Linked DNA regions of Danio rerio. The protein of the gene in region 1 interacts with the protein of each later gene in a pairwise test. Links are inferred from orthologs where the notes say so. Each region holds a gene or a part of one and is shown in the gene's direction. Other genes may lie near its edges.

What was found.
Region 2: the proteins of dnpep (region 1) and mpp1 interact in binary tests that used the Homo sapiens proteins (3 or more experiments, as listed by UniProt). The two-hybrid records come from large-scale screens. The link is inferred for Danio rerio from reciprocal best matches to the Homo sapiens genes DNPEP and MPP1.

The regions. Positions count from the first base shown.
Region 1 is NC_133181.1:14,866,730-14,872,455, forward strand, and holds the start of dnpep (aspartyl aminopeptidase), read left to right. Parts: upstream 1-2,036; 5' UTR 2,037-2,128; intron 2,129-2,362; coding exon of another isoform or gene 2,363-2,371; coding exon 2,372-2,453; intron 2,454-3,158; coding exon 3,159-3,247; intron 3,248-5,726.
Region 2 is NC_133196.1:48,086,020-48,091,152, reverse strand, and holds part of mpp1 (55 kDa erythrocyte membrane protein), read left to right. Parts: intron 1-374; exon of another isoform or gene 375-1,458; intron 1,459-1,584; coding exon 1,585-1,691; intron 1,692-3,001; coding exon 3,002-3,082; intron 3,083-3,195; coding exon 3,196-3,276; intron 3,277-3,417; coding exon 3,418-3,620; intron 3,621-5,133. UniProt on the Homo sapiens protein: Essential regulator of neutrophil polarity. Regulates neutrophil polarization by regulating AKT1 phosphorylation through a mechanism that is independent of PIK3CG activity.

The DNA.
Region 1 (5,726 bases):
TATTGTTGTAATATATATTGTAAAATGATACAAATAATGTAAATTTTTTGATGACATGACAATCATAAGTGGCTGTTCATACTAGATACATATATAGATACATATATAAATACATATATATATATATATATATATATATATATATACATATATATATATATATGTATATATACATATATATATGTATATATACATATATATATATATATATATATATATATATATATATATGTATATATATATATATATATATATATATATATATATATATATATATATATATATATATATAAATGTATATATATGTATATGTATATATATATATATATATATATATATATATATATATATATATATATATATATATATATATATGTATATATATGTATATGTATATATATATATATATATATATATATATATATATGTATATATATATATATATATATGTATATATACGTATATATATATATATATATATATATATATATGTATATATACATATATATTTATATTTGTATATATACATATATATATATATATATATATATATATATATATATATATATATATATATATATATATATATATATATGTGTGTATGTATGTATGTATGTATATATATATATATATAAATAAATATATATATATATATATATATATATATATATATATATATATATATATATATACCCTCGGCAGGGTCAGTTGGCATTTCTGTGTGGAGTTTGCATGATTACCCTGCGTTCACGTGGATTTCCTCTGGGTGTTAAGGTTTCCCCCACAATCCAAAGATATGCTGTGCAGGTAAATTGTGTAGGCTAAATTGTCCTTACTGTATGAGTGTGAATGTGTGTGTATGGATGTAGGTGGGTTGCGGCTGGAAAGGCATCTGCTGCATAAAAAATATGCTGGATAAGTTGGTGGTTCATTCCGCTGTGGCAACTCCAAATTAATAAAGGGACTAGGCTGAAAAGAAAATGAATGAATGGATGAATGAATGAAAAAGTGTAATAATAAAAATATAAAAAATAGTCAATAATATTAAACAGTGCTACATAATTTTGCAACTTTTCATAAAAAAGTACATTAATAAATAACAATAATATATTTTAATACTTGTTTGAAGTAAATATTAAATATCGTAAAGCCTTTTCTTTATGTGCAAATACATTTACACTCCTCACTTTGTATAATTAATATGCTAATAAAAATACTTGTTCAGAATAAATTACATAACATTTTTGCCACGTCACAAAACATTTACACGAAACATGGTCATACACTAAAAAATGCAGGGTTCCTCATAATTCATGTAGTTCCAACAAAAATCTGTTCAATATTAACTATTTTGTGCATTAAACACAAAACAAGCTTTTTTAAAAAATCTCAAGAATTGTGTTGTTTCATCTCATTTAATTTCATATAATTTCAAAAATCTTTTTGAGTGTGTTTACATATGAAGAGTTCAGATACAAAAACCCAAATGCCATCTGAAATGGTCTTCAAAAATGAATTTTTTTTTCTCAGTGTCCTATGTTTAAATGCTGTTATTTGACTTTAAATGCAGTGAAAATAACCAATAACCATAACAGTGAAATATCTGAAACTACACGGAGAAAAAAAAATAGAAAAGTGCTCATTTTAGAAGATTTCTGATGGCATTTGCATCTGAACTCTTCATATGAGGTTTGTTTTTAGTACTTGTTTGAAGTAAAAGTTAAATATTTGGAAAGCCTTTTCCTTATTAGGTGGATGTATTTACACCCCGCAATATTAATTGTATAATTAATATGGTAATGAAAATAATTGTTCGGTATAAATAAGATGATATAAATCTCCGAGCTTCATGCTAGCAAAACGTAAAAAGTGCTAATGTGGGCTGCCAGAAGAGCTACTTCACCTCCAACCACTAGAGAGCGCGATCCTCCTTCTGCTACAAGGCGACAGCAAATCCACAGAGCTTCCTGCCTTCTTCATCCCCTGAACTGAATGTGAAAGTCCACTTTTTATCATTTATGCAGGTAGGAAAGGTTGTCGAGTAACTTTGTAAGAGCGCTATTTGTGCAGAGATTTATGTAGTGGTTCTCGTGTTGAATTTCCGGTTTGCTGCTAGGGTTGTGATTTGGTAACGTACGCTTTTTTAGGGATTTTTTGTGTTTGTATGTCACTTTATTGCACATTTACATTACAAATGGCACCTGTCATTTTTAAGTGTGTGTATTAACTTGGTTCGAAGTGAACATTCACAAAACAAGAGTAGACCTGGTTCCACAATGTCTTACGTTAACTAACATTAGCATATGACTGTCTCCTGTCCCTGTATGTTATTTATTTAACACTTCTCTTATGATTTCCACAGTCTTTCATCATGAAAAGCTCCAAAGAAGCTGTACAGGCCGCTGCCAAAGAGTTTCTTAATTTTGTCAATAAAGGAGTTTCACCTTACCATGGTAAGAATGACACATGTAGTAAATATATTTTTATTATTGGCATTTATAGTATATAGTATGTTTTTGAGTCACACTGTAGTAAAGCATATGAAATCATCTGTAAGTAGTAATATAAACAAATGATCTGAACTATAATACACTACACCACTGTTTACTGTAGTTAAAACTAAATTATACAACTGGCCATGGTTTAGCAGTTTACTATAGTTAATACTACATTAATGCTGCACTAATCATTAACAAAGAATTGTAAATACTAAAGTCTATATACAGCAGATAATACATTCCAATATTTTGGTTCAAAAACTACATAGTAATCACAATAAACTATCGTAGTGTTTTTTGTGTGAAGGGAGTAAATTGCAGTATATTGAGCTGCAAGGCTATACAATTTAACATTTATATGGATAAATAAATTATTTTATTTATAGAGTTTGAGAAACACTTTGTTGATAATAAAATTAGCCAACTTTACAGTCTGACTAGATACAGGTCTTGAACATTGTTCCTCTCTAGCTGATAAAGCTCCAGATACGGGTAATAGATCCTGATCTGGACATTGAAAGCATGCACCTTCACTTTTTCCCTACATCAACAGACTTTGTGATTTGTCATTTCAGGTGTATTTGAGCATGCAAGAATGTTAGTTTACACACAGTATGTTTCCCTTTTAACTGTTTTTCTGTTTCCTTCTGTGTCTTGCAGTGGTGGAGGAGTGCAAATCTCGCCTGCTGAAGGCTGGTTTTACTGAGCTCAAAGAGGCTGAACATTGGGACATTAAACCTGCCAGTAAGGTGTGTGTTTGGAAACATTAAGATTTACAATTGCTTTGTTTAAAGGGCCATAACACCCTCCTCTTTTGGTTCTAGTCTGCCAAAAAAAAATTTCAAAAAATGCTCCGAAATGGGCGTGGAGCTTTACATGCAGAGAGAGGAGTGGGCGTGGCCAGCAGAGCAGGGGAAAAAGAGAGAAGCGAACAACTGCTGTTAGTTGGCTCACAAAATGAGACACAAACCATGAGACCCATGATTTTATAGTTTACAAAGTTAAAATGTAAAGAAATAAACAGTAAGGTATTTAATGCCCTGCTACATAAATTATTCGTAATTTCATATACACAAAACCACAATTTGTTATATCATTATAAAGATAATCAGGTTTATATAAACACTATAAACTCCTATACTTAGACACCTGACAAAAAGGCTTGCTGCAAACCAACAGCTTTGCTGTATTGGCCTCAACAGCATCGTGGGTAAAAACATGCAACAAACCCCGTGGACCATGGAAACAAACACATACGACCCATGCTATGCGCAGCACAGTCTCACTCAATGGCTCTCACAGCTTTGCAGGTCTGTTATTAAGAAGCAGGGTCTTCTCATAGTAGTGTTTCCTCTTGGGTTTTTTCCAGCTGTGGCGGCAGTCCTTTTTTAAACAGATCTGCCAAATACCTGTGGCGTTATTTTAATGACAAATGTTGTGAGCGCAGTATTAGATGTCGAGATCGCATTTATGTAATAACCTACATGTAAGAGCATGTGAATCTCTGCTTGCACGCCGATTTCCTCTGCTCATGCACAAAACTTTTTGCACGCCACCTCAAACATAAGCCGCTTGAAGAGTGCGCAGATCTTGTGCGATCTCAAACAAACGCTGCTGAGTGCGATTTAGTGCGTTTATGTAACAATTATGTCTCCAGCATTTATTAGATTTGCTAGGAATGTTTATAAATGCCTCTAATAGACCTAGAGAGTAGCATTAATGCGTAATGAAGTAAAGTGAAACGACTATACGTCGTGTTTGGCATCACGCACTTGTCAGTCTTTCAGTCAGTCACCACGTCACCTTAAAAGGTTAAAGAAATGATGCAGAGCACTTACTACGGTTACAGAAAAGTTTGCGTTGTTATAATTTACTTACCCTTTAATACGTTTTGGTGCGATTATCACCCGCTATTAAAAAAATAAAATGTTTTGAATCAGAAGCTGTAATGTAGCTGTGGCGGGATGAATTTTGACGTGGCGCCCCGCCTTGAAAGAATGAATGTAGCGGAAACCATGCACAGGATAAGAAAGCTCCGCTATGAATAATAATGAGAAACCGACACGTCATCATTTCATTCGCAAATTTGCGCCACGTCACCGTCACGTCATTTTGATCCCGCCCCAAAAATATTTTAAACCCGGAAAATTGAATTATCTAACAAAAGCTCAAAATTATCCAGTTTTCATTCATTCATTCATTCATTCATTCATTCATTTTCTTTTCGGCTTAGTCTCTATTGATCTGGGGTCGCCACAGTGGAATGAACCACCTACTTATCCAGCATGTTTTATCCTTCCAGCTGCAACCCATCACTAGGAAACATCCATACACACTCATTCACACTCGTACACTATGGACAATTTAGCCTACCCAATTCACCTGTACCGCATGTCTTTTGACTGTGGGAAAAACTGGGGTACCCAGAGGAAACCCACGCCAACACTGGGAGAACATGCAAACTCCACACAAAAATGCCAACTGACCCAGCCGAGGCTCGAACCAGCAACCTTCTTGGCTGTGAGGCGATCGTGCTACCCAGTGCATTACCGTGACGCCCATTATTCAGTATTCCCCACAATTAAAGCTGACAGGTGCTAACGTTGTCTTAACTGATGCTCAACACACACACACATCTGTTAAAATTTCAAAGAAATACTCCAGAGTGTCTTGAACCTTTAAAAAAAGAGCCTATTATGCTCATCAATGATGCATTTATTTGATTACAAACACTATAAGATGGTTTTATTGAGAAATATTATTTCAATGTATCTGTGCCCTGTGTGTAATATTTGTATTCTTAGAACTTAACACTTTATTTTAATAAAAAATAATTTGTAGCCAGTTACGTAAAAAGGTCTTGATTATCTTGCAAAGTATAGTCAGCCACGTGTCATATTCGATTACTTATTCTATATATTATTTATTCTATATAATTATACAGAAGCTATTTACTGCTGCTTACAGGATTTCCACACTTCTTGAAAGTATTTGAAAGTACTCGTATGGATTCAAGTCCTGGAAATATAGGTTCAAGACCTGGAAAGTACTTAAAAACAAACATAAGTGCTTGAATGAAATTTAAAATTAAATTTGTTTATGATGTTACTTCAACAATTGTGCCGCTGTCAATAACTGGATGAAAAAAACAAGAAAATTCTTAATTAAAAACAATTGCTTCTTGTACAAGAACTATGACAAATAATGCACATAAAAAAGAATGAACAT
Region 2 (5,133 bases), on another chromosome or scaffold:
CTGTCTATATGTTTGTGAATCTGAAGTACGTTACTTAGGGTGTGTTTTGTTGTACGTTTCAGATGACGAATGCACTAGAGGGCGCTGTCTATATGTTTGTGAATCTGAAGTACGTTACTTAGGGTACGTTTTGTTGTACGTTTCAGATGACAAATCCACTAGAGGACGCTGTCTATATGTTTGTGAATCTGAAGTACGTTACTTAGGGTACGTTTTGTTGTACGTTTCAGATGACAAATTCATTTGAGGGCGCTGTTTTCATGTTTGCAAACCTGAAATACGTTACTTAGGGTACATTTTGTTGCATGTTTTAGATGACGAATCCCTTAGAGGGTGCTGTCTACATTTTTGTGAATCTGAAATACGTTATTTAGGGTACGTTTTCTTGTGCGTTTTAGATGACAAATTCACTAGAGAGCAATGTCTACATTTTACAAATATGAAATACGTTACTTGGGGTGTGTTTTGTTGTAGGTTTCAGATGACAAATCCACTAGTGGACGCTGTCTATATGTTTGTAAATCTGAAGTATGTTACTTAGGGTACGTTTTGTTGTACGTTTCAGATGACAAATCCACTTGAGGGCGCTATTTACATTATGGCGACTAAAATATGTTACTTAGGGTACATTTAGTTGCCAACTTCAGATGAAAAATCCACTAGAGGGGGCTGTCTGCATTTTTGCGACTTTTAAATACATTACTTAGGGTAGTTTTGTTGTTCGTTTTAGATGACAAATCCACTAGAGGGTGCTGTGAAAATATGCGAATTTGAAATACGTTACTTAGGGTGAGTTGAGTTTCATATAAATGTCCCTATTGTACACGTCCAGGGAAAGGCAGAGCTTGTCGTGCAACTCAGCTAGCGAACCACTAAGCTAAACTCTTTCCTAAACCCAACCGATAGTGTTTACAGAAGCAGACGTAAGAGAAATAAACATAGTTTCACCTTGATTTTACATCGTAAAAACGTACTTTATCGGACTCAATCTGAAGCACTCTGTAGGACAACACAGTACAAGGTGAGCTACGAGAAAACTGACCATGCCAAAAAAATGTACAGATATATTGTTGACACAACAGTATTCATTATCAGTATTCGTAATCACAGGCAGCGTTAAGTTGTTTTGTGGGGTTTATTTGCTGTTGTGCTAAGCACTGCATAAAAGCAATCCTTTATTCGTTAACCATGTCTCTAAATATCATTTTTGTGAAAAGGAATAAAAGGTCATCATCATACTGCCCCCTAGTGTTCATTTTACCTACATACTGCAGTGTAGCATGCGTTAAAGCACAAGTGTCAAATCCAGTTCCTGGAGGGCCGCAGCTCTGCACTGTTTAGCGTTACCCCTAATTAAACACAGCTTATTGATTTAATTAAGTCCTTCAGGCATGTTTGAAACAACAGGTAAGTGTGTTAAAGCAGGATTGGAACTAAACTGTGCAGAGCTGCGGCCCTCCAGGAACTAAATTTAACACCTATTTGTAAATGTTGGCTGAAGCTTGTATTTCCAGTGAGCCTGCGTTTTGGTTCTCAGGACAGTTTGAGCAGTGAGTTCAGTAAATGCTTGTGGTGTTTCTGCAGGAGAGTAGCGAGCAAAAGCAAAGCAACACGGGAAGCTGGACAGTCCTGCAGTCCTTTTGGCAAGAAGAAGAAATGCAAAGACAAATACCTCGCCAAACACAGCTCAAGTTAGTGAAGCGCACCTGTATACCATCACACACTGCTTATTTATGCATTTTCATAAAGTTTTATAACATTATACAGTAAAACAAAGTACTCGCACACTGTTTAAACACACATGTGCTGCTTTATTTATAAAAGGATTTGTGTTCACTTCCATGCAAATTCAGGAATGTTACAAGTCTTTTCACAGTCATTAATGTTCTGCTGAAAATGATTTACACTTAACAACAAAACAAACTAATAATGTTTTATTTGTATTCTTGTTAACAAATTGTTTTTTAATGTTATTGTCACCTGCAGTTTAAGCCTAGTGCTATTATTTATTACATTTATAATTTACCAATCACGATAATAATATTTTTGGCTAATTTGAATGTTGTGAATAATATAATATAATATAATATAATAGTAAGACAGTCTGTAAATTTAAACACACACACATATATAAATATATATATATATATATATATATATATATATATATATATATATATATATATATATATATATATATATATATATATATATAGACTCACCGGCCACTTTATTAGGTACAGCTGTCCAACTGCTCGTTAACGCAAATTGTAATCAGCCAATCACATTGCAGCAACTCAATGCATTTAGACATGTAGACATAGTCAAGACATCAGAATAGAGAAGAAAGGGGATTTAAGTGACTTTGAACGTGGCATGGTTGTTGGTGCCAGACGGGCTGGTCCACATATTTCAGAAACTGCTGATCTGCTGGGATTTTCACGCACAACCATCTCTAGGGTTTACAAAGAATGGTCTAGACTGGTTCCAGCTGATAAAAAGGCAACAGTAACTCACAAAGAGCATCTCTGAACACACAACACGTCCAACCTTGAGGCGGATGGGCTACAGCAGCAGAAGACCACACCGGGTGCCGCTCCACAGTCAAATGGGCTCCACAGTCACCAGAGCTCAACCCAATAGAGCAGCTTTGGGATGTGGTGGAACGGGAGATTGGCATCATGGATGTGCAGCCGACAAATCTGCAGCAACTGTGTGATGCTATCATGTCAACATGGAGCAAAATCTCTGTGGAATATTTCCAGTAGCTTGTTAAATATATGCTATGAAGGATTAAGGCAGTTCTGAAGGCAACCTGGTTCTACTAGCAAGGTGTAAGGTGTACCTAATTAAGTGGCCGGTTAGGCTTAATAAATCTAAATATTTTTCTATTATACCTCTGAATAACCACATCATGGCTTAATGTAATAAAAGCCACTATTTAAGTCTACAGATGCCCTTATAGAGCATTAACTGATGAATTTCTCTGTCTTTTCATTAGTCTTTGACCAGCTTGATGTCATATCTTATGAAGAGGTAGTGAGACTTCCAGCGTTCAACAGAAAGACCCTGGTTCTCATCGGTGAGCCATATATTGTGCTATTAATAGTGAAAATAGGAATATAAAATCTATTTGTTATTTCCATTCATCACTATACAGTAGATACTAAAACTGTTTCTTTCTGTTGTGTAAAGGTGCACATGGAGTTGGAAGGAGCCTTATTAAAAACTCACTGCTGAGCAAATATCCTGAGAAGTTTGCTTATCCAGCACCACGTATGTATCCTTCACTTCTGTTTCCCATTCATTCATTTGCTTTCAGCTTAGTCCCTTATTTATCAGGGGTCGCCACAGCGGAATGAACCACCAACTATTCCATCATATGTTTTACACGATCATAATGTTTTTTCTTTGCAGATACAACTAGACCTCAGAAGAAGGACGAGGAGAACGGCAAAGAATATTACTTCATCTCTAACGACGAGATGACTAAAGGCATTGTTGGAAACGAGCTGCTGGAGTACGGCAGCTATCAGGGACACATGTTCGGCACGAAGATCGAAACCATCCACAAGATCCACGAGCAGGGCAAGATCGCAGTGCTGGATGTCGAACCACAGGTAACAGATCTGGAAGATGTCTGTGCACTTTTGGTCACATGTTGACCTTTTTTAATGCCAAACTAAGAATGCTCTACACACTCAAAAATAAAGGTACAAAGGCACATATAAATACCTAAAAGTGCAAATGTGTACCTCATAGTATCTTAAAGGGATAAAAGAGAACTTTAAAGGTGCAAAGGTGTACCCTAGAGGTACTAATGTTCAACTGTACGGTACAAAACTGCACATCTAGGATATGTCTATCTGTATGTCTGTCTATCTGTCTCATACCTGCCAACATTTGTTCCTGAAAGTCTGGGAGATCTGGGGGTGGTTCGGGGGTGAGGTGTCTGAATAACACTGTTAAGAAGCGGGTACTGTGCTGTTAGTAACTGTACTATGGAGTGCGTTTCAGGCGACCGCTGCGATCGGATAATATACCAAAGTTGGTGACCCCGGGGTTTCACAGACTGGGCGAAATTATGTGACTTTTCCAGGAGACATAACAAAACGGGAGGGTTGCGGGAGACTTACCTTTCTGTCTATCTATATGTTTGGTTTGTCTATCTATCTATCTGTCTACCTGTTTGTCTGCCTATCTGTCTATCTATCCATCTGTTTGTCTATCTACCTATCTATCTATCTGCCTGCCTATCTATCTATCTATCTATCTATCTATCTATCTATCTATCTATCTATCTATCTATCTATCTATCTATCTATCTATCTATCTATCTATCTATCTATCTATCTATGTATCCATCCATCCATCCATCCATCCATCCATCCATCCATCCATCCATCCATCCATCCTGGCTCAAAAGTGCAAAAAATGTAATACTAACACATAAGTTTTTCAAACAAGAGGTCTACAGTATGTTTAACAGTTATGCATTTTATATGACACTAATTATTGTCATTTTTTGTCTTGAAAATGCAACGTCAAGTCAATAACTCGTATATATCATCCAACCAGAAAATACAACCTTCTTTGAGGACTAACAAACGTTGTTATCGTAATCTATCAAGTGATAATTTGGAGTCAGAATAATTTTTTTGTTTCTTGTTTAAATATTTCCCAAATTATTACAGAGCAAGGAAATGTTCACAGTATGTCTGATAATATTTTTTCTTCTGGAGAAAGTCTTATTTGTTTTATTTCGGCTAGAATAAAAGCAGTTTTCAATTTTTTAAACACCATTTTAAGGTCAATATTATTAGCCCCTTTATGCTATATTTTTTTCCATTAGTCTACAGAACAAATCATCATTATACAATAACTTGCCTAATTACCCTGACCTGCCTTGTTACCCTAATTAACCTAGTTAAGGCTTTAAATGTCACTTTAAGCTGTATAGAAGTGTCTTGAAGAATATCTAGTCTAATATTATTTACTGTCATCATGGCAAAGATAAAATAAATCAGTTATTAGAAATGAGTTATTAAAACTATTATGTTGAGAAATGTGCTGAAAAAATCTGCTCTTCCTCAAACAGAAATTGGGGGAAAAAATAAACGGGACTAAAAATTC